4 separate regions of the Mus musculus genome follow, and all the other regions are reported to be linked to region 1. Evidence: microRNA targets listed by miRTarBase, many of them from high-throughput screens and not tested one by one. Region 1 holds a microRNA gene; each other region holds the end of a gene's coding sequence.

Region 1 (5,991 bases):
TCTAGGGCCTGTCCTTGGTTCCCAGAGGTTTCTTGTCCCTCACATGACAACACCCATGCCCTTGACTGGAGCTGTCCCACTTGGCAGTTTCCTCCAGGCCATTGTCTTAAGAGACATTTCACTCTGGTTTTCTCAGTGTGGGTTAATGGGATATATTGGGGACAGTCCAGAGGAGGAGGAAAGAAATGGCATCCTGTCTGTAAACAACACATACACAGATGCAGACACACATACACACACAGACACACATATACATACAGACACACACACAGACAGACAGACAGACACACACATGCACACACATATACATACAGACACATAGACACACATACATACACACACATACATACAGACACATAGACACACACATGCACACACATATACATACACACACATACAGACACATAGACACACACATGCACACACATATACATACATACACAGACACACACGTGCACACACACACACACACAGACAGACACACACACACATACACACACACACAGACACACCCCGAGGGTGGGCTTGCTAGGCCTTTCCGGCCTGAGGTTCTGTTACACACAACACACTGGCTCTTGTCAACAGACACATGGAATGAGGTGAAGCCAGGCATTCGCCAGTACCCTTCAGCCTGGGCCATTGGGCTCAGCCCTGGTGGGTAGGACAGTTTCAATGTTTCTATTGTGAGTCAACTTTAATTTCATATATTTTATTTTTGCACGTGAGTTTGTTTGTTTGTTTGTTTGTTTGTTTTAAGCAGGCTGACCTAGGACTTTTTGTTTTGCTTTGTTTTGAGCCAGGACCTCACTATGTAGCCCTGGATGGCCTGGAACTCCTGCTCTGCGTGCCTCTGCCTCCCGAGGCGGGGATGCCTGCCCGGTGTGGGTCAGCATGCCAAGCTTGATCGGTGCTCCTTATGTACAGAGTTGGGGATGAATACCAGGTCTTGTGTGCTCTAGGTAAGCATTCTGCCACTGAGAGAAACAACTCCTCAGCCCTTGCTTTCCTGAGATGCAGTCTCACTAGGTAGCCTAGGCTGGCTTCAAACTCGCAGCTCTCTTGCTGGAGCTGTCTCACTCTGTTTATGAGTCATTACTGGGCTCCTGACGCCAGTGTCTGGGGTTTCAGATCTTGGCTTCTCTACTTCTGTCTGCGTGACTGTGAGCAAGCTCCTCTCTGCTCTATTTCCTGACCTATAAAATGGCATTGGCTAAAAAGGGGGTGGGGCGATGATGGCTCAGTTGTGCCGGCCATGAAAGGATGAAGATCTGAGTTTGATTCCCAACACCCACTTAAAAGCCAGCTGCAGTGGTATCTATTACCCCTGGGGCTGGGGAGGCAGACAAGCAGATCCCGGGAGCTTGCTGGCCAGCCTAGCTGAATTAGTGAGCTCTGGGTTGAATGAGAGGCCCTTTCTCAAACACACGCTGAGCGTGATAGAGGAAGACTCTGACCTCTGTCTCTGGCTTCCACAGGCTTGCATCTGTGCACACGGACCCTCCTACATGCAAACCCCCACACGAACAGGTACGTACCACCCCCTCACTCACAAAAGACAAAATAAAAATAAAAACAAAAAAAGGTCTTAATCAGAGGCTCGTTTGGATTTTTCCAGCTCCCCTTGTCTCCCAGGGCCCTCTCCTAGAGGGGGTTAAGCACATTAAGATGCAAGCAGAGTCGGCTCTGCTCTGCGCTCAGAGCGGGCCAGGGCTGAGCAGATTCTGGTTGTTATTGTTGCTGTCTGTGGCACCCTGAGTGCCTGCCCCAACACCCTCTAGGAGACTCTGGGGAATTTTCCAGAGCTTCAGGGCTGAGTTGAGCACAGATCTCAGAACTCCTAATGTTTGTTTCTTGTTCTCCTTCCCCAGCCTCCTGAAAACACGGATCCCCATCAGCCTAAAGTGGTCTGGGAAATGCTTGGTCTTCCTTACACTGATTCCTGTGTCTTTTTGTTGGGCTTTGGGTTGGAAAACTCTAGAAGAACCTAGATCAAATTTTAGAATTGAACCCTGAGGGTCCAGGCTTAGCTCACCCAGCAAGGCAGCTTCCCTGGCCTATGCAGCACAGCCACCTGCCTTACGCTGAGCTCTGGCTCCTTCAGAGGCCTCTGGCATTACCAGTGCTTCTTGGACAGTGTCTTGTTTCTGAACTTTAGGCCACAAAATAGAACAGACTGGGGTGCCTTTGGACCCAAGGGTAGGAGGACAGAGCTGTACTCCCAACTGAATTAGGAGGCAGAAAGACTGGGGGGTGGGGGGTGGGCATGGCATCCACAGAGAGGCAGGGGTGTGGGAACCCTCTGAGGGTGCCGGGCAGGGGCTGTGGGCCAGGCCTGGGAGCCTCGGGGAGGCCGGCAGGCACAGAGAAGGAGGCCTCCTACCAGACACTGTCTAGACGCAGCAATTATTGTCAGCTCGGAACACCCAGGCTCTGCCTGTGCAGCTGAAAAGGAGCTTAACAAAGAGAGAGGGAGGAAGAAGAAAGCGGAGCAGAGCCGCTCTGAGCCTGCCTGCCCGCCTGCAGCCCGCGGCTCTTTCTCTGCTTGGGCTCCCCCCCTCTTTGTGTTCCACAGGCACTGTTGAGGGGACAGCTCCTCACAGCTCAGAGATGCCTGATGGGGACAGAGCAGGAGGTGCAGCTCTGGGGCCCTGGCCAACTCTTCTGAGCTAGGCTTCTCAGAGTGGATGCTGGGAAGTCTGGGTCTTGTCCACTTTAGAGGGCTCTAGCCTACACCCTTGTCATACTGATGGGGAGCCTTGGGTCACGGAATGACAGCCTGACACCTACCCTCCTCTGCTTCCAAGGAGCCAGGCACTTTGTAGATAGGGTTAGGGGTGGGGGCTCAGAGAACACAGTCAGCCGTGGGGTGGCTTCAGGTCTGTCCTTTAGATCTGGGCCTTATTCTTCTCACCCTTGGGAGGAGGTGAGAGGGCAGGGCCAGCATAGCTTTGATGGGAAGCCCACCCTCCCCCGCCAGGACAGGGTTTCTCTGTGCAGCCCTGGCTGTCTTGGAACTAACTCTGTAAACCAGGCTGACCTTGAACTCATAGAGACCCTCCTGCCTCTGCCTCTTGAGTGCTGGGATTAAAGGTGTGTGCCATCACTGCCTGGCTGGAAGACTGTTATTAGCCGTGGCAGGCCCTTCAGAGCTGGAAGATGAGCACTTTGGATTCCATATGTGTCCTAGAACCTTCCCCCTCCTCTCAGTTGCCATTCCCGAGACCCCCTTGGCGTTGGCAGCAGTGGTGCTCAGAGTGTAGGGGTGGAGCCTCAAGGCCCTGGGTTTCTGCAGCTAAAAACACAGCTCAGGATCAGCAGATGCTCAGACAGAGAAACTGAGACACGCTGTCCCTGAACTCAGTTGCAAGCCACCAGCTGTTCCCCTTATCTCCCTGTTCCAGGGCATCTGGGCAGGGGCTCTGCTCTCAGCCCAGTCTGTAGCTCTAACTCTACCCACTAGCTTAGGCTCATGGAAAGGACCTACTGTGTGCTCAACTCTGCTCTCCTCTTGCCAGCAGTTGGGGTTGGGGGCCGGGTGGGGAGTGACTTGGTGGGTGGGCACCTTCTACATCCTGTGGAGGTAATGAGCAGTCCCAACCTACTGCTGGGGAAAGGCCTGAAGCTGGTCAGGGCTCCAGAGTGACTGGGTAGGGGTAGCTGGGTCCCTCTCAATCCTTCTCAATTAGAGACAAGGCCCTCAGAGCAAGAAACATGCATACCTGCCCTTACATCACACCCGAGGCCTCTTGATCTGTCCCCAGGACCTTCCCAGGCTCCAGGCATCGGCCTGGCCTGCCCGAGGCTCAGCCCTGCTGGCCACACACTGTCTTGTCTGCTGTGTCTCCCAGTACTCAATTATAGGAACAGAACCCTCCTCTCTCCCTCTGCACCATTACCATAACAAACCTGATTCCCCTGCCTATACTGCAGACCCACCGGGATCAGCCGGTCCACCAGGATTCTAGCATATTCTGCAATGCCACTGCAGCTCCCTCAGCCCTCCCCACTGGGTCTTCCTTTCACCTGGCGCTCTGAGCCATCTCTACCAGACCCTCAAATATGCGAAGCTGCCAGCCTGCTCCTGTGAGTTGTCCCCTGCCTCCTGAACAGCACCAGCCCTCCCTGTCACATAGCCAGCCCAGACAGCTTTCTGATTCCTCCCGCATCTGCACTAGGCTGGTCTTCCACCATGGCACAAACCAAGCTTGAGTTCAGCCCCCAGTTCCTAGCCTCTGGGAGCTTTGGAGACCTGTTCTCTCTGCTCCATAAAAGCCTGCCAAACCTTCCAGAGGCAGGAATTGATAGACCACTTGGATCTGAGGCCTGAAGACTGCCAGTCCTGTCTTCCCTGGCTTCGCATTAGTTGAGTTAGTCATCCCAGTAGATCCTCATGCACCCTTCTCTAGGACACTTCTGACCCCTGCTGAGATCACACACACAGCCAGTCTGCCTAAGTCCCTGATATTTCAGCCTTCTTGGGGGCACCCAATGCATTTTTTATGGCTCGCCACGCCTGCGAGCCCTGTGGGCCAGCTGTCTCTGGCTTGTCTCACTCTGTGAACCCAGCTCCTGCTTCTGAGGTGCCTTCCCAGCCTGACACCACCTAGAGGTAGGAGAAGTGACTTGGGCCCACACCCCCCCCCCCCCCCCCCCCGTAAGTGAATCCCTCTCGGCCCAAGCACCAAGGCAACCTCTTTGTCCTCTTTCCCAGGGCCTCCATGCAGACTCCCAGGAGTCACCGTGAAGGCCAGAACAAGGCTGTGCCATTGTGCTGCCCACTGACCTGAGAGCACTCCCAGGAGCTGGAACTGCCTTGTGCCCAGTTCCTCCCTCAAGCCCCCATGCAACTAGGCCAGTCCACAAGGACAGGAGGATGGTAGGTCCAGCAGGGGTGGGTACCCCACATCTATTCCTCCTCCAGAATTGGCCCAGAGCGTTCCCCAACCCTTGCTGTGGGATATCTAAGCCTCATCTTCCTTCCTCCCTGCCCTGCCTGTCCTTTCCCTCCAAATATCTATCCCTCTCCTCTCCTCTCCTCTCCTCTCCTCTCCTCTCCTCTCCTCTCCTCTCCTCTCCTCTCCTCTCCTCTCCTCTCCTCTCCTCTCCTCTCTCTCCTCTCCTCTCCTTGTTCTCGCCTCTCCTCTCCTCTTTTTCTCTCCTCTCCTCTCTTTTCCTCGTCTTCTCTGAGTCCTCCCTGGGCCTCCTTCCTTTCTTCTTCCTGGGTTAAAAATAATCAACTTTCTGGGAAGCGGCAGTTCCCGCTGAGCCGCCCTCCCCACACACGGGAGCCCCTGAGAATAGCTTTCTGCGGCTCTCCACTGAACCCCTCCCTCCCTCCTCCCTCCTTCCCTCCGCCCCCTCCCCGCCGGCTGACTAATAAGCCGGGCAGCCGGCTCTGCCAGCTCGCTGCAAGGGCGTTAACTGCTTCGTGCCCGGGTGGCGTTCAGCATATAGCGACAACAGGAGGGTTGTAGGGCACCAGGCCACACGGAGCCGGAGCTCTGGGCCCGTAGTAGACGTTTAACTAACCCAGCTCTGCTAGGCCGAGTGGTTTGGTGAACTTTGTCATCTAACTACCGCTGCGAGCCTGCTGCTGCTGCGGCTGTTGTGTGGCTAGCTAGTTCCTAGCTTAGGAGGAAGGGGTCAGTGGGATCAGTCAGGAGAGGCACCCAAGGGTCGGGACCACGTGAAGGGTGTGACTGGCCTAGTGACTCCTTGGCCCCGGATTCTGGGAACCATTGCGACGGGGCAGAGGTCAAAGGCAAGGCAAGGCTGCCTGCTGCTCTGGGGATCCATGCAGGTACCCCACTGGGAGGGACTTTGACAATTAAGAAATTACATCTAGGGAAACTGAGGTCCAGGGGGTGTTATTCAGGCTAGGATGCATCTGAACATCTGCAGCAGTGCGTGAGGCTCAGTGCTGCAGGGGGCTGATGATCCCAGTCCCTCAAGGTTGGAAGAAGAGCCGGGATATCAAGGTCAAAGGTGAGG
Region 2 (5,991 bases), not on the chromosome of region 1:
GAAGAGAGTGAAGATTCCCAACTTAAAGGGCCAGTCAATATCTGCAACAAAATTATAGAAGGAAACTTCCCTAACCTAAAGAAAGAGATGCCCATGAACTTACAAGAAGCCTACAGAACTCCAAATAGACTGGACCAGAAAAGAAATTCCTCCAGTCATATAATAATCAAAACACAAAATGCATTAAACAAAGAAAGAATATTAAAAGCAGTAAGGGAAAAAGGTCAAGTAATATATAATGGCAGACCTACCAGAATTAGACCAGACTCCTCACCAGAGACTATAAAAGCCAGTAGATCCTGGCCAGTAGATCCACAAATCCAGCCCTACCAAGGATAATAGATGGAAAACATCAACACAATGAAGGAAACTACATCCTAGAAAAAGCAAGAAAATAATCTTTCAACAAGCCCAAAAGAAGATAGCCACAGAAACATAATTCTACCTCTAACAACAAAAATAACAGGAAGTAACAATCACGTTTCCTTAATATCTCTTAACATTGATGGACTCAATCCCCCAATAGAAAGACATAGACTAACAGACTGTATATGTTAACAGGACCCAGAACTTTGCCGCATACAGGAAGTGCACCTCAATGACAAAGACAGACACTACTTCAGAGTAAAGTTTGAAAAACAATTTTCCAAGCAAATGGTCCCAAGAAACAAGCTGGAGTAGCCATTCTAATATCGAATAAAATTGACTTTCAACCAAAAGTTTATCAAAAAGGATAAAGGAGGACACTTCAGCTGGTCAAAGGAAAAATCTACCAAGACAAACTCAATTCTAAATATCTATGCTCCAAATGCAAGGGCATCCATACTCATAAAAGAAACTTTACTAAAGCTCAAAGCACACATCATACCCCACACAATAATAGTGGGAGACTTCCACACCCCACTCTCAGCAATGGATCAACAGATTGGGAAAAGGTCATTATCAACCCTACATAAGACAAAGGGCTAATGTCCAATATATACAAAGAAATCAAGAAGTTAGACTTCAGAGAATCAAATAACCCTATTTAAAAATGGGGTACAGAGCTAAACAAAGAATTTTCAACTGGAGAATATCGAATGGTTGAGAAGCACCTAAAGAAATGTTCAACATTCTTAGTCATCAGGGAAATGCAAATCAAAACAACCCTGAGATTCCACCTCATAGCAGTCAGAATGGCTAAGATCAAAAACTCAGGTGACAGCAGATACTGGCAAGGATGTGGAGAAAAAAAGGAACACTCCTCCATTGCTAGTGAGATTCCAAGCTGGTACAACCACTCTGGAAGTCAGTTTGTCAGTTCTTCAGAAAATTGGACATAGTACTACCTGAGGACCCAGCTATACCATTCCTGGGCATATACCCAGAAAATGTTCTAATATGTAATAAGGACACATTCTCCACTATGTTCATAACAGCCTTATTTATAATAGCCAGAAGCTGGAAAGAACTTAGATGTCCCTCAAAAGAGGAATGGATACAGAAAATGTGGTACATTTACACAATGGAGTACTATTCAGCTATTAAAAACAATGAATTCATGAAATTCTTAGGCAAATGGATAGAATTAGAAAATATTATCCTGAGTGAGGTAACCCAATTGCAAAAGAACACACATGGTATGCACTCACTGATAAGTGGATACTAGCCCAAAAGCTCCAAATAACCAGGATTCAATTCACAGAGCACATGAAGCTCAATAAGAAGGAAGACCAAAGTGTGGGTGCTTCTTAGGAGAACAAAATACTCACAGGAGCAAACATGGAGATAAAGTGTAGAGCAGAGACTAAAGGAAAGGCCACCCAGAGACTGTTCCACCTGGGGATTCATCCCATATACAGTTATCAAACCCAGACACTAATGTAGATGCCAAGAAGTGCATGATGACAGGAGCCTGATATAGCTGTCTCCTGAGAGGACCTGTCAAAGCCTTACAAATACTGAGGTGGATGCTCGCAGCCAACATTGGACTGAGCACGGCATCCCTAGTAAAGGAGCTAGAGAAAGGAATGAAGGAGTTGAAGGGGTTTGCAACCCCATAGAAAGAACCATACCAACCAACCAGACCCCCTAGAGCTCCCAAGGACTAAACCACCTACAAAGGAGTACACGTGGCTCCAGCTGCATATGTAATATAGCCTTGTCATGCATTAATGGGAGGAGAGGTCCTTGGTCCTATGAAGGCTCGATAGATGCCCCAGTATAGGGGAATCGAGGGCAAGGAGGTGGGAGTGGGTGGGTAAGTGGAGGAACTGGGGGGGGGGGATGGGATAGGGGGTTCCTGGGAGGGGGGAACCAGGAAAGGGGATAACATTTGAAATGTAAATAAAGAAAATATCCAATTAAAAAAAAAAGTTCTCCCAGGTAACTAATTCTTAAAGAAGTTCCTGAGCCTTGTAACTGAATTCTTCTTTGAGGTCAACAGAAACAAGCCATTTTTATTTAGGAATAAATGTGGCCCTGCCAATGGTCAGACAAGGCCAATTACTGTGACAAAGAGCAAAAACAATGTGCCTGTAAGATGCTGAAGGTGTCAGAAATAACACTCCCACATGCAACTACTACAATGACTGTGTCTCTTTCTCTGATCACTGAATTGCCCTTAGTGGCAGTATATTTAGAACTGGGGGAAGTGAAAATTCTGAGGTCAACAGGTCTAAACTCAGAAAATCAAGACTATCAAAATAAAATAAAGCTTACTGCTCTGACAAGAATAGCAAATACACAGTCCTTGCTTCTCCTCCCTGCAGGCACGTAACTGGCTCACATCTCACTCTTCCTAGAATACAAAGCCAGTACACATACCCTGTGGGAAGAGGTGAGCAAGAATGAATAGGGTCATGACTGGCAAGAGGCCTGCACATTTCCTGTCATATCCAAGTACCTAGGAGGGTAATAACAGTCCAAAAAAGCAGGTGAATTTAGATGAAAACCAAGAATCTGTTTCATAAGTAGAATGTAATAAGGGAAAACAAAAGAATTAACAATAGACCTCTATCTATCGTTTAATATTTCACAGATATTAATGTTACCTTCAGGAGCTGGGTCGATGGCTCAGTAGTTAGGAGAGGATCCAAGTTCTGTTCTCAGCATCCTCATTGGGTGGCTGACAACAGCCTATAACTCTGACTCGCCTCTGTGGACACCAGTACATACATATGCATTTACACACATGCGCACGCACGCACACACAAAGTTACCTTCATAAAGTAAGAATTAGAGCTTAACTCCGAAAGTGAAAAACCACTGAAGGAATCAGTAAGTTTTTTCAAACCTTAAGTTTGAACAAAATTAATCTTTTTATTCATCAGAATGACTCACAGAAAAAGTATGTGTGGCCCAATTCCAATGAAACTAAACTCCACTGCTGTACTGGAAGACGAAATAACACCCAAGCCAGGCCCAACAGCTGCTACCTATACAACTGCTAACTAGAGCCCACAGACAGAAACATACAGGGTTCTACGGCAATTGAAACATGAAAAGCAAGGGCCGGGAAAGTAACTCCATTGGCAGAGTGCTCACCCAAAGCATAAAACATCCCAGGTTTGGTCCCCAATATATAAACCAGAACCACAAAATGAGTCTAAGACCAGTCTGAGCTACAGGAGACCCTCTCAAAAATACCTAAAAGGGGGCTGGTGAGATGCCTCAGCGGTTAAGAGCACCGATTGCTCTTCTTGAAGGTCCTGAGTTCAAATCCCAGCAACCACATGGTGGCTCACAACCATCGGTAATGAGATCTGATGCCCTCTTCTGGTGTGTCTGAGACAGCTACAGTGTACTTACATATAATAAATAAATCTTTTTTAAAAATACCTAAAAGAAAGAGACAAAACCCAAGCAGTAAAACTAGAATCCCGTCTCCTAGCCCTTCCCTCTGCACATACTCAAGAATTTCTCTTGATGTACCAATCATAAATAACCTCTTATCAAATTTCTTCCAGGGCTGGGAAGATGGCTCAGCAGTTAAGAGCAGGCTGCTCTTGCAGATGAGCTGGTTACCAGAACCCACCACCATACAGAACTCCAATTCCAGGCGATCTGACATCCTCAGGCACATGGTACACACATACATATGTAGACAGTCATACAAATAAAGTATTTTTTATCTCCACTATTGACTTTGTCCTATTGAAACTTTTTCTCTTCTCTTAGGTTTCCTGCCTAAGTAGGGACAGGGTTAAGGGGAAAATGAAAGATGGTCACAGGTAGTATATGGGGACCTGCTTATAGAATCTTAAAGACATTTTATATTTCAATAGCACTGATGATGGAAAAGAGGAGAAACAAGACAAAAACAAACAAAAATTTCTAAACCTTACAACCTAAACCTTTTGAGAAAATAATTCTGAAAATATTTTTTTGAAGGTTAGAGAGATGGCTCAGTGGTTGAGAGCATTTGTTGCTCTCGCAGAAGACTGAGGTTCAGTTCCCAGCATGCACATGGTGGCTTACAACCATCCATAACTCAGTTCCAGAGGATCTGATGCTCTCTTTGGCGCTCTGAGGGTTCCAGGCACACACATGGTATATCTATATACATTTGGACAAAACATTCACACATTTAAGGTGGGGGCAGACCAGTTTCCCTGGCCTGGAACTTAGCTATGTAAATATTAAAATATTTAAAAGGAGCCCCAATGTGCCTACTCCTCCACCAAATCACTCAGTAAACCAAAGAACCTCACAGTGTATCTCTAGCATGCCAGCATCACCACTCCAATAATGAGACAAACCAGCCTCCTTCTTTTATGGCTTTTATATACAGCACCAGCCCCACCCTGAGTGTCCTTTAGAGAAATTCACCTAAATCAAAGTGGAGTTCAAAGATGAAACTGCAGCAGGTCAGGGGGAAAGTGGAGGACATGACCACCCTGCAAGCTGTCCTTTGTCCTCTAAAGTCCACGTTCAAGGATAGGAGGAACAGCTGGGGCTGGTCCTACTTCCCTGAGGGGGTCTGAGCTGTAACTCTTGCTCCAGCTGCTCAGCAGTCAGCGTGCCCTGGATGGCTTCACAGCCCGGGTTGAACACAGAGTAGGCGCTCTTCTCCCCTTCTTTCTTCTCCTCGGGACCCCGAGTCCCTACATACATCCAATAGAACATGGACAGGACAAAATAAGCCAGACCAAATTCCAGTTCCACAAACAGTCCCAGCAGGACCAACCAGAGGAGAACCTTCAAGAAGGTGATGTTAGTCAGGAAAGACTGGCGGCAGGAGGAAGGCAGAGGGACTGCTGTGCTCTCAGGGAGCTGCTGGCCTGCTTCCTAAAACACAGAAACAAACAGAAGTAAGAACGGGGGAGCCTAAGCCGAGATTACTGGACTGTTAGCCACACCTAATGTGTACCCCAGCAGAACCTACGCAGGGGCTGATAATGCAGCAGCGGCAGCACTTGTCTCCCACACAGCCGTGGGCAACACACGTTTGCTGATTTGATGAGATGGACTGAAACATCCGAGGTAACGCAGTCCTAAAATGGAGACCATACCCAAAACAGAAACAAAAATCCCTTCCACACACTTACAGAGAAAAAAAAAATCAGTGATATGCCATTGCCCACCCTATCCTGGTCTTCACTGATCATCCCCAGGCCTGGGATGCATCTTCTAACTAGACCCCTTGCCTCCTATCTCTCTCTAGTCTCCAAGCCAGCCTGTGTACGACTGACTGCTCAATGAGTTCTCTAAATTGCCATCACCTTGCAACACACACATCTTCAATAAAATCCCATTGCCTGCATGTTAAAATCCAGCGTTCTTACATGGGAAGACAGTGCCAGATGCTAAGGGAATCCTTTGGTGTATAGGTGACTATAGGAGCTTTGCCTGATCTCCATTATTTTCTAAGTTTTTTTTTTTTAATGTTTTTGCTTGTTCCTTTGTTTCTTTTTATGTGCACTGGTGTTTTGCCTACATGTCTGGGTGAGAGTGTCAGATCTTGAAGTCACAGACAATTGTGAGCTACCATGTGGGTACTGGGTCCTCTGG
Region 3 (5,991 bases), not on the chromosome of region 1:
GCGCAGCCCCGATCGGCTTCTCGCGCTCCTCGCCCGCCCTCCCGCCCGGAACGCGCCGCCCGCGCCCGCCCCCGCCGCACCGCCCGCCTCCGCCCGCACTCGCGGTCCCGGCGAGGCCCGCGACCCCCGACCCTCCCGCCGCTGGTGCCGCGCGCCCCTAGCCCGCCCCGAGGCCTGCCACCCCGAAACGCGTCCTGGCCCGAGGCCCCGGTCGGGCGCGGGGCTGCGGGCGGACGGACAGGCTGGGCGGCGCGTCCGGCGACTCGCACAGGAAAGCGGACGGCGGAGGGAGGGCGCTCGGGAGAGGGGGATGGGAGCAGGGAGGAAGAGGGAGAAGGAGGGAGCGCGGAGGAACGGAGGAGAGAGAGGGGCCCGGAGGAGACGCGAGGGAGGGAGCGCGCGGCAGTCGGGGGGCGGAGGATCGGGGAAGGGGAGGCGCCGGGCGAGTTGGCCGAAGCCGGCCGGGGCGCAGAGAGAGAGGGCCTCGCTGCGCAGAGCGTGGGGAGCTCGCGGGCCCCGCGCGGGAGAGGGCTGGGTGGGAGGGGCTGTGGACTGCGAAGGCAGACCTGGGGAGGCTGGAGAAGTTTGGGGACAAGAGGGGCTGTGGCAGGGGTGAAGTAGGTGGAGTTTGGGGAATTATGAAGTAGAGATTTGGATAATGGGACTGTATTGGAAAGATGGAGAGGAAGGGCCAGAAGTAGAGGCTGGAGGGGTTTAGGAGCTATTTTGGAGAGCCTACGATGGAAGTTTGTGGACCTGGGCGGGAAAGGATGAAGACGTACTAGGAGAATGGTGTTTCTGGAAGAGATAAGCGTTTAAGGCAGTGATTGGTGTTGAGAAGAATGCAAACCACAAGAATTTGGGAATGATGAAGGAAAGCTGGAGGCAAGTCCGGAGATCCCTCTGTGGGAGAGAAGGCATGAGAAGTCTCAGAAGAGGGGTGGAGGGCAGAGGATGCCTATTCTAGAGGGAGACTGGGGTGGGCTGGGTTGGTAAACATGAATGTGGGGACTTCCAATCGAACTAAGAACTATTTCCTTTGGCAAATAAAGTGGAGGAGAATGAATTAGAGAGGTCTGGAAGGAAACACAAGATAAATAGGGCTTTTGTGGCAACGTGGTGGGAGGGCCAGTGATGGGAAAAGAGAGGAGCTAGAGACGGAGGGAGAACCCTGGAGGAGTGACAGACTGGGGTCCAGGCCCTAGTGTGGAAGAGGTAACTAAGAGGTGGCACTTCACTTTTGGGCCCTTCATTTTCTCGAGGTTCCTGAACTAGACCTTCTCAAGTCTGAAGTCATTACTAGTAGCATCTTTGGTCATGGTCACAGAAGGGATGAAGTGGGGGATTAGGTGGAAAGGACCTACATACATTTTAGGGTGCCCAGGTTCCCCATAACAATTGTAATATGGAAGTAGTCCCCAGCACAGACTACAGCATGCTCCTCCCAACTCTTCTCCAGTCAGCGTGCCAGCCATGCCCAACCTACAGCCATGAAGTCAGCACCCCCATCACTCCAGTGGTGCCTTCTTCTGGGCTCCTTCTCTGGCCCCAAACCAGCAGCAACATCTCTCAGGACAAAGGACACTAGAGACAGGGTGATTTTTGGCAGCTGAAATTGGGAAGGCTAGAGAAAGGGAGGGAGGCAGGCTGGGAGCCCGGAAGAGCTGGAGCTGGAGTCTGGATTGGGAGCCCTTAGTAGTTCACCAGATTTGGAGGTGGGGGTAGAGAGCTTGTAGGGGGCCAGCCTAGCTCAGACCTAGTGGGTGGAGTGGGGGACACTGAGTGGGCAAACTGCCTTTGTGGAAGGGAGGAGAACGGCTAGCCTAGTAGCCACCCAGTAGGTCTTACACCACCATTCCTTAGGCCAGATTCAGCCAAGCTCTTGAACTTACCCAAAAGCTCTACACAGATTCCAAAGCACTAGGGAGACCAAGCAAGAATGCTTGGCTCCTCTAGGAACAAATATCCCATCACCCCACTGTGAAGTCCCTTGCCTCTGCAGGGCCTCACTTTACCCCCATACCCATTTGCTTGTCCCCTTCCAGGGCCTCCCAGAGACCAGGTCCTCTCCTGTGTACCCTTCACGTCTTTTTCTCTGTGCTCTAAGATAGACCTAGTTCCTTCCCTGTACCAACTAATTTTGCTCTGAGACTCCTCCTCCCTCCCCCCTCTCCCCATAGCATTTCCTCTCTTTCCTTTAGTTTCCCACTAGGCCTGGCCTAGGACCTTTCCAATCCTTTCCAGACTCAACCTCTACCCTTGTTTAGCCGCTAAGGCAACAGCCAAGATGGTAACTTATCTAAGCCTAAAAGAAAAATGTAGGCCTAGGGAAGGACAAGGCATGGAACTAGGAAAAGAAGCCAGCACTACACCTTCCAGTTCCTCTGGTACCCAAGACCAGGCTCACAGCTCAGCTGCTGGGAGCATTAAATATACACCCCACCCCTATCCTTCACCCCAGCTCCCTCTCTGGCCCCAGCCCCCTACAATCACCTGGTCTCCAGGCAATGGCACAAAAGGAAAGTAGAGAGGGGCCTTGGAGGCCCAAGCAGAGCTAGCTGTAACCCAATCCAACCTGGTACCAGAAGGGGGCTGGGAATGTTGTCAGAAAAAGGCACCTAGCTAGGATGGAGGAAAGAAAAGACAAGGGTTAGGAATGGTGGCTACAGCCACAATAGCCCTGACCAAAGCCTAGGAGTTTCTGAGAGAGCAGCCCCAGAGAAGTGTAGCGAGCCCCCGGGGCCATATAGGGGTGCTGGAAGGGGGAAAAAAAACGAGGAGCTTACATAGGAATTCAAGGGCACAGGGAAGGAGAGGGAGCAAGAAGTTCTTTGAACTGAAAATAGCTGGGGGATACAAGAAGATGGGTGGGGAGATGTGGCTCCTGGCTTCACCAGTGCAAGTTTCTGTTAGCCCTAAAGGGAGAAGGAAGTCTGAGGGAGCCTGGGACCAGAACTTGGGAGGATCCGCGGGAGGAGGGCAGAGGGTGCAACCTTGAAATTCTTCCCACCCCAACCTCACCTTGGCGTCTAGTAAGGTGTCCTGCAGAACTTGGGCTCCCCCTAATGGCCACAGCTATTCATGGGCAGATGCTGCCTGCAAGCGTGAGCCCTAGTACCCTAAGGATAGTAATGTTAGGGGGATTGTCCCCCAAGGCGGGCTGGGTGCTTCAACCTCACAGCCTCACTGGAGCTGAAAGGTTAGAGGGCCTCTGTCTACACACTGATATCCTCTCAGTCTGGCTAACGGGGAGGCTGGAGAGCACTTCAGGTGTGGCATCCATTTTACTGGAGAAGTCGGATTCCCAAGCTCCTGGTACCCGTAATATTTCTTCTCTCCCTTTTTTCTTTGGTTCTGTATTCCAAAGGAATTGGTGGCCATGATACTCTCATTTCAAAGCCATCCAGAATTCTGTTGAGGACCAGTACAGGGGCGCTTTAGTTATTGGTCTACTGCTTTGTTCCTACTTCGGTCCAAGACTTTAGGAACCAGAAACGCTTTGTTCCTCACCCCAGATACACTCAATCCCTGATGTTTGAGTAACTCCAGTACCACAGGTTAAGAATCCTTAGTTCAGCCAAGTGTGGTGGTACAAGCTTTTAATCCCAGCACTCGGGAGGCAGAAGCAGGCGGATCTCTGTAAACTTGGAGCCAGCCTGGTCTACAGAGTGAGTTCCAGGACAGCCAGGGCTACACGTAGAAACCCTGTCTTGGGAAACAAAAACCCCACGGATCCCACATCACCAGCAATGCTGCAAACTTGGTCATGAGTTCAGTGGCTTGCCGCTTTTTGAGCCCTCCCCTGATCTGCTACCTAGGATCGCCAATATCCAGTCGTTTCTCTTCGTCCTCTCACATGGAGCAGAGAGTAAGAGTCCTCAGACAAGGGGTGGTGCGCTGTGATTCAGACTTTAATGGTGGTGGTCATTTCAAAGCCACGGAGATGGTGGCAACTGTGGGACATGGCGCAGGGGAGTGAGGCAGCGCTCTGGTGCAGCCGGAGAAAGACGGAGGAGCCTAGGGCTGGGGAGAGGGTTAGAGGAGAAAAGCCTCCCCAGGTCCACAGCCCCATTCTGTAAAGTTCCGAGCTTCGGTTAGTGCACCGAATGAAGCAATTGCTAAGGCCCTTTTCTGTTCCCCTTCCCATGCTAGCAAAATCCCCATCCTGGGTCATCTTGGAATGAAGCCACATGGAATAGGGGTGCCTAGTCCTGTCAAGTTAGGTCACTTTCAGACTGGAGAGTTACAGGAGATGGCTGACTGACCAGCTGAGAAATAAATAAATAAATAAATAAATAAATAAATAAATAAATAAATAAGCAAACAAACAAACTGTGCTTGTGTATGTAAACACATACACTAAAGCCTCAACCAAGCATGACCACACATCCAGCACTCCCCAAACTCCAGTTCTATGCATAGTTCAAGGCTTATACACACCATGGTAAGCACTGAAACACTCATGCCCGTGACCCCACTTTAAACACCCCAACACACCAATCCTGAAGCTCCTGTCAGACACTGAGGATTCTTCTGTGGACCCCCTTCTAATCTTCATAATTTTTTTTTAAAGAGAAGAGAGAATAGAAGGGAAAGTGGGAAGACTGAATCCCCCCAAAAATGGGGCCCAGAGAGGAGGAAGAGCAGAGAGAGCAAGGGGGGTTGTGGAAGCCAAGAACAGCAGGAGCGGTGAGTCGAGGTGTTCTGGGTGACTTGGGGCTCAGGGTATCAGAGTGACTATGGCAGGTCAGGGCAGCAAGAAAGAGGCTCCAGGAGAATGAGATGTTCCCGCGTTCAGGCAAGCGGGGTTGGGGGAAGGGGATCACAGCACACTGGGATTTCGGAAATTATGTCCCGCGAAGCGAGCTTCGTCCCCCAGCTCTTCCTCAATTCTGACAGATGATCCGGAAGGGGGACAGTCAGGGGAGAAGACGGGATCAGCCTTTCTCCCTGAGTCCCTCAATGCTCCCCCTTTGAGGGCTGCCCCAAGGTGAACGGTCCCTGGCTTTCGTGGTCAGTTAGTGATCTGTCAATCGGACCATCCTTGAACCCACTTAGCAAAACTTTTCTTGGCATCAACTGCTATCCAGGTCCTGGATGCAGGAGGTGGAATGGTGGCCTAATGGGGCGTTTAGACCCCGGGTTTCGGGTTCTTGTTCTTCGGGGACCCTCCTCACCTCATGAGCTGGTTGTACTTCGCCAGACGTTCAGATCTGCATGGGGCGCCAGTCTTGATCTGAAACATTCCAGGAGATAGGCAGCTTAAGGATTTCCTTCGCCTGATAGGACACCCCTATGCCCCACCCCTGCCACACACACATACATACATTTTTTTTTGAGACACTTTTATGAAGGTTGTCCTCTAAAGGGACAGGTTAGCCTAGAACTCCTCATCCTCCTGCCTCTGCTTCCCGAGTGTGGAGACAAAAGGCATGTATCCCCAAGTCCAGGGCTTTTGGTTTGTTTTGAGACAGAGTTTTACTATGTAGCGAACTCCCTACATAGACTAAGCTGGTATTGAACTTACAGAGATCCTCCTGCCTCTGGCTCCTGGGTGCTGGGACTAAAGGCGTGCAATGTCATATCCTACTCCCCCCCCCCTTTTTTTTTAAATGGAACCCAGGGTCTTGCACGTACTAGGCAAGTACTCTATAAATGAGCTGAACCTCCAACTCTGAAACATCTGTATTTGTACTAATTAATTAATTAATTATAAAAATTAATGCTTTAAGTTGTGTCTGTGTACACGTCTGTGGATCTGCTCATGCCACGGTGTGCATGTGGAGGCCAGAGGACAACTGGTGGGAGTTGGTTCTCTCCTAACCCGTGGGTCCCACAAATCAGACTAAAGCTGAGAGTCAGGCTTAGGACTGGGCTGAGCCATCTCACCAGCCCAGAACTTCTACTCTTTTTACTATTTACTAAGACAGAGTCCCTCGGTGTAGCCCTGGGTTTCCTGCTATACTCACTATACAAACCAAACTGGCCTTA
Region 4 (5,991 bases), not on the chromosome of region 1:
TTTTTTAAAATGTGCTAGATGTAAAAGATGCTTTAAAAATGGGGAGATTAAGCTGGTGTCATGCCTCAAGCCTGTAGTCCTAGCATCCCCAGTTGAAATAAGGGCATTACAAGTACAAGGCCAGCCTAGGTTACAGGTAAATTATAAAACAAAAACAGACATCCATGGAAATAGATGGGGCACAATATATTTGGAAAGAAGAGGGGGTTGGGTTCATAGTACAAGAAAAGCCAATCAGCGTTAGGGTATGGTTGGAATATATGACTGACATGCTAATAATCCATGCAAATATAAACATTTTTTGTGAGGCAGTGGTGATGCACGCCTTTAATTCCAGCATTTGGGAGGCAGGCCCATTTTTGTGAGTTCAAGGCCAGCTTGGTCTGCAAGAGAGTTCCAGGACATCCAAGGCTACACGTAAAAAAACTGTCTCAAAACAAACAAACAAACAAAAAACAAAAACAACAACAACAACAAAAAACCCTGAAACACACAAACAAAAACAGTTCTCTAAAGCAGGTGTGTTGACATAGGCATATAATCTCACAACTAAGACATGAAGAGTTATGAGTGCCAGGCCAGCCTCGGAGTCATAATGAGACTGGGTCTCAACAACAAAAACAACTAAGGAAAAAAGAAAAGGCAAAAAATTTTTATTTGAAACTTTCCCTGTTCAAAAAAAAAAGGTGTCATTTCTTCTGCTGTGGTCTTGAGTCTAGAGATAACAGGATGAATCACCTGAGCTAAAGGACCATGTTCAATTGCTTGTTGGCTAAGAACACCCCAATCAAGGAAGAGATTTAGATTGATTCTGAGTGCTTCCAACTGTATGGTCTTGGCTCTGACCCTGAAAACAGAATCAAAACAGCCAAGCCATGGTTGTGGTCCTGGTGGAGGGAACACATGACTGTTGCTTATTGGCATGCTCTGCCTGTTTTCTGGTGCAAGTGGAGAAATAGCTCATTTGGTCAGATGCTTGCCGTATAAGCATGAGGACTTACTCAGTTGCTCACCAGAACCCTTGTCAGATAGCCAGGCGTGGTCTCACACGTCTCTGATCCCAGCATCGGGTGTGATCTCAATCACTGAGCCTAGAGATTCAGTTATTCAATTGCCATATTAATGTGGTAGTGCACACCATTAATCCCAGCACTCAGGAATGAAAGGCAGATGGATCACTTGAGTTCGAGACCAGCCTGCCTGGTATTCACAGCGAGTTCCAGGACACAGAGTCCTTGTCTCACAAAACAACAAAAATAAAAGCAAGCTTTGTGGGGCTGGGAAGATGGCTCGGTAGTAAAGGTCAGAGCACTGGCTGCTCTTCCAGAGAACATAAGTTTAATTCCCAGCACCCACGTTGCTTCTGTAATACATCTGTAACCTAGTCTCTATTCATTTCCAATTTTATAGTTACTAAACCAAGGAGATTTAACTGAAAGACAGACATGAGTGTGCTGACTCCTGGAGATGCTGTTGTCTGATCCCAGAGTGCATGATGGGAACAGATCCAAAGGCTCATAATCTGCCAGAACTAAAAGGAGTCTGAAGGACCAAGACCTTGCCTTGCCTCTGTTGTCTGAGGGCTCTCTTCAACCTCCACCGATGCAGTCCAAGAGTGAAGCAGTGGCCGTGGGCTGGATACCTGTGCCGCCTCTCTCCTCAGCGCAGCGTTTGGGAGTAGACTTGCCAAGAGCAGGTTTAATTATGTGTTGGCTGAAGATTTTCATTGTGACTGTCAAGGTTTTCCTTTGAAGAGTTTTCACCCTAGGCCCAGCTATCTTTCCATATGGTTGAATTATGTCCTGCTTCCAACCAGAACACTGAGTTTTCAAGATGCCTTGTTGCTTTGAAGAAGGGAGGGGTGCCAATTACACTGTAGCATTGCACTCTCCCTTTAGCAACCTGAGTAAGACTTAGCCTTTGGGCTGTAAAAATTAAATTACTTGAATCTCTCCTTGGCCCAGGCTGAGGTACCAACTTACCCTGTACACTTTGACTTGGTCATTTTTTTGTTTTGTTTATGGGACTTAAAATAGCATGTTATCAGGGGGTTTTATTTGTTGTTGTTGTTTTTTTTTAAGTTAAAAACCACATGATCTAGAGTTTGTTTTCCTTTTAAATAAACAAAACAACCTAGTCACCTCTTTGGCTCTTGTTTTAGATTGGTGATTCTTAACCTTCTCAATGCTGCCACCCTTTAATGCAGTTTCTCATGTTGTGGTGACCCCCAACCATAAGATGATTTTCATTGCTACTTCATAACTGTAATTTTGCTACTGTTACAAATCATAATGTAAATATCTGATATATAGGATATCTGATATGTGATAGGTTGAGAACCGCTGTTTTAGACAGATGTGGGGCATTTTTGTTGTTGGTTTGGTTTGGGTTTTTTTCAAGACAAAGTTTCTTTGTGTAGCTTTGGCTGTCCTGGAACTCATTCTGTATTCCAGGCTGGCCTTGAACTCTGCCTCCTGAGTGCTGGAACAAAAGGCGTACACACACCACCACTTCTTCGTAACAGATGTGTTCTTAGAGGTCAAGAAGTTTATCCAGTCTTTCTCTTTTAAGATAGAATATTAAATAGAGAAAGGAGGCTAAGGATAGGATAGTAGCTTATGCCTCTAGTCCCAGGACTCAGGGGCTGAGGCAGGCAGATCACAGGACTATGAGACCCGCCTTGACACATAACAAGTTCTACACAGCAAGACACTGTGTTAAAAAAATTAAGGGAGACCCTGATGAGCCAGGTCCCCCAGCATGCAGGGAACAAACAAATTTCTTGGATTTGATGCCAGCCTGATGTATATAGGAAGTTCTAGATCAACAAGGGCTATACATTAAGAATTTGTCTCAAAACAAAAAAAAGAAAGAAAAAAAAAAGGAAAGCATACTTTCTGGGCTGGAGAGCTAGATGGCTTAGTAAAGAGCACCTGCTGCTATTCCAGAGCATTCCACCTCAGTCCACATCACACAGCTCGCAGCACCCTGTCACCCAGCTCCAAGGGACACATACAAAGCGGGGTTCTGGGTACTTAACACACACAACATGTACATAATTTTTTGTTTGTTTGTTTTGGTTTTTTTTTTTTTTTTTTTTTTTTTGAGACAGGGTTTCTCTGTGTAGCCCTGGCTGTCCTGGAACTCACTCTGTAGACCAGGCTGGCCTTGAACTCAGAAATCCACCTGCCTCTGCCTCCCGAGTGCTGGGATTAAAGGTGCGAGCCACCACCACCTGGCACATGTACATAATTTAAAAATAAGGAAAAGCACTAGTGCCATAAAGTAGGTGCTGATGTACCTTTAGCTGTGTAGACGGAACTGAACTGAGGAGCCTTAGAAAATGCAGCAGCAGTGTTTTTTGTTTAGAGCTGGCAAACCTAAGCTGGTAGTGGTGGTGACACACGCCTTAGCACTCAGGAGGCAGAGGCAGCAGATCTCTTGAGTTTGAGGCCAGCCTGGTGTACATATAAAGTAATACAGGGCAGTAAGGGCTACACAGAGAAACCCTGTCTCAGAAAAAGTGGAAAGCAAGCAAAGACTGGCAAGCCCAGATGTGTCAGACCCAGCACTAAAACAGTTTGTAAGTCTTCTAAGATAGCAGTCGTAAGGGATAATTTGGATTTGTTCCAGAAATGGTTAAACATGAGAAATGTACTTCTTTTAGCCCATTATCATCTGCATACAACACAATTATTGACCAGAAAAAAAAATATCTCAAACATCACCTATGAGTACAAAATCAGTTAAGTTTTATTTAAAGTGAACTCTGTGCTGACATACGTATTCGAATAGTGTCTTTAGAGAACAGTAGAAAAGAACTGCCGCTCTGCATTTGCTATCGACTTGCATAATTATCCTCTAGTGTGGAGACAAGTTCCTAGCAATTGTTTTTCTAAAATTACCAGTCTGTGCTTTCTACAGGAGTGCTTCCCAATCTGGGACATTTTTGCTCTCTAGAGACCATTTGGCAATAAATGGAAACATTTTTGTTTGTCAACAACCTGAAGAGGGGTGTTACAAGAGGGTGAGGAAGAAAACATCCTATAGGGGGCTGGAGAGATGGCTCAGTGGTTAAGAGCACTGACTGCTCTTCCAGAGGTCCTGAGTTCAAATCCCAGAAACCACATGGTGGCTCACAACCATCTGTTATGGGATATGATGCCCTCTTCTAGATTTGTCTGAAGATGGCTACAGTGTATTCATAGAAAATAAATAAATCCTTTTTTAAAAAAAAGCTTATAAATTAATCCTACAAACAATAAGAACTGACTTGTCCGAGTGTGTCAGATGCTAATGATAAGGCCTGTACTTAAGGTTGCAGATGTGGGCTGAGAATCATGTTTTATTTCACACACAGTATTCCTATGTTTAGCTGCTAAGATTGCAGGTTACTGGAAGCCGATGAGAATGTATTTAGTCTGGCTGTCCTGGATTTCTGTTTCCTTATTGCCACCTATTTTCTTACCTCTGTTCCTCTTATACCTACTTGATAGATGTGGGCTCTACTTGTATTTTCTATACCTACTTCTAAGTGTAAAGTGCAAAGCAAGAGCCTTTTACTCTGGGCTAAGGTACATCTACCCTCGGATCCACTTTGATCTCTGAAGTTCTGTTCTGTTCTCCCAAACCCTAACAGATGACTCTAAACTCAAGCTCCTCCACACTTGGTTGCTTGGTGCTCTGATGTGATATGGTGAGTGACCTATTTCAACAAGCAGATTGGTTAGCCATTGCTGTTCCAGCCTGGGGCCAGCAGGCAGTTGTAAAGTCTTCTAAATTGAGCCGTCAACCTCGGATGCTGAGTTTTGTAGCTTCATAGTTGCTGAAAAAAACAGTATTTTAAATGGAAAGGATCTGTGAGGTTTAAGAATGGTTCCAACATTTTCATTATTATTATATTTTTTGGTAGAATAGAATTTTAAAGAGAAAACAGGAATTACTTGGACTTAATAAAACTGGAAATAACAGCAGCACTCTGCTTTTCTCTCCTTGCCTTATGATACATCAGTTATGAAAGAGGTGATGCTGGGGTGTCAGCTGTAAGGAGCAGGGATGGCAGCCGAGCAGCCATCGCCTCACATAGACAGTGTTGCTCAGGGGCTTGTGGATGCGCTTTTGTGTAAGTGCAGGGCTGTTATCTCACGTGAGCAACTTCTCTACGTTCCCTCCTGGTCGCGTCCTTAGGGATAACACCAATACCTCTTAACCGGTGAGATTCCTTGACTTTGGCTTTCTCTTCATCACACTGCCTCTGTGCCTTGACTCTTGGTTCTCACAAACTCCTCCTCCAGGCCGGCCTGCTTCAGGGCGTCCCTATAGCGCTCTTCTGCTTCTTTCCTGGCGAGGGCCTGTGGAGTGGAAGTGACAAGTATGACTCTGAGTTACTTGGGGAATCCGTCTTTAAAATATTGCCCTTTCCACCACCCACACCTTTAGTGCTGGACAAAGCTGGCACAGGAATGACTTAGAGCCTTATTGTTAGCCACAGTTTATAAAATGAGTCCCATGGGGATCTTGTTCACATACAGGTACAAATACAATTTCATATCTCTAACACTTCTAGGAGGTGTCAGCTCCTAATTAATTTGAGAGGCACGCCCTTGAAAAGCATCCAAACCATCCTCAGGAAGACTAACATATCACAAATGCTTAGCAAGAGGAGTGTGGTCTGTAAGTAGCTAGAAGGCTACCTTGTTTTACATATCTAAGAACAAAACCACAGGCTACTTTGTGTTTTCTACAAAAGGGGACCTAAAGGAGTGGACCATAAGTATGTTCCGGACAGTCCAGCAGGGGGCAGGGCCGCCTGGAGGAGGAGGAGAGCCATTAGTACCTAGGGATGCCACATGCTCTGAGATGGAACTCATGCCTACAGTGAACCACAGAGCCAGATACCACACTAAACTGCCTGGGGTGGGTCCTTCTGGATGTTCAAGGGCTCTAGAGCTTCCTTAGGGAGATCTCAACTGAATTCACCTTCTTAAAGTC

Evidence for each region. The annotated mature microRNA mmu-miR-3089-5p reads UGAGUUCAGGGACAGCGUGUCU and lies in region 1 at 3,339-3,360, opposite strand. An mRNA with a match to its seed (bases 2 to 7 or 8) in the 3' UTR can be bound and repressed. Matches are read on the target gene's strand: a 7mer-m8 pairs with bases 2 to 8, a 7mer-A1 pairs with bases 2 to 7 and ends in A, and an 8mer does both.
Region 2: the mRNA of Saysd1 is a reported target of mmu-miR-3089-5p. Seed matches in the 3' UTR shown: 7mer-m8 at 4,823-4,829 and 8mer at 3,691-3,698.
Region 3: the mRNA of Eno2 is a reported target of mmu-miR-3089-5p. Seed matches in the 3' UTR shown: 8mer at 3,768-3,775 and 7mer-A1 at 3,670-3,676.
Region 4: the mRNA of Fam161b is a reported target of mmu-miR-3089-5p. Seed matches in the 3' UTR shown: 8mer at 4,106-4,113.

Annotation. Positions count from the first base shown.
Region 1 is chr2:30,718,591-30,724,581 of GRCm38, reverse strand. It overlaps Mir3089 (microRNA 3089), which reads right to left and starts at 3,372; the gene lies at 3,289-3,372. Gm14488 (a long non-coding RNA gene) reads left to right here and starts at 3,395. Exons shown (of 4, transcript XR_866106.3): 1 at 3,395-4,609; 2 at 4,712-4,876. Gm39782 (a long non-coding RNA gene) reads left to right here and starts at 799. Exons shown (of 3, transcript XR_866107.2): 1 at 799-959; 2 at 1,476-1,527; 3 at 1,869-3,019.
Region 2 is chr14:20,072,377-20,078,367 of GRCm38, forward strand. It overlaps Saysd1 (SAYSVFN motif domain containing 1), which reads right to left. Exons shown (of 2, transcript NM_026209.1): 2 at 3,260-5,268. The coding sequence ends at 4,912. Among named protein-coding and RNA genes, the nearest start is that of Saysd1, 7.8 kb to the right of the region's middle.
Region 3 is chr6:124,756,471-124,762,461 of GRCm38, forward strand. It overlaps Eno2 (enolase 2, gamma neuronal), which reads right to left. Exons shown (of 12, transcript NM_013509.3): 11 at 5,178-5,236; 12 at 3,583-4,892. The coding sequence ends at 4,823. It overlaps Atn1 (atrophin 1), which reads right to left and starts at 17. Exons shown (of 10, transcript NM_007881.4): 1 at 1-17.
Region 4 is chr12:84,341,585-84,347,575 of GRCm38, forward strand. Fam161b (family with sequence similarity 161, member B) reads right to left here. Exons shown (of 9, transcript NM_001358283.1): 8 at 5,203-5,351; 9 at 3,725-4,825. The coding sequence ends at 5,244. It overlaps Zfp410 (zinc finger protein 410), which reads left to right. Exons shown (of 12, transcript NM_144833.4): 12 at 1,411-2,855. The coding sequence ends at 1,449. Among named protein-coding and RNA genes, the nearest start is that of Fam161b, 17 kb to the right of the region's middle.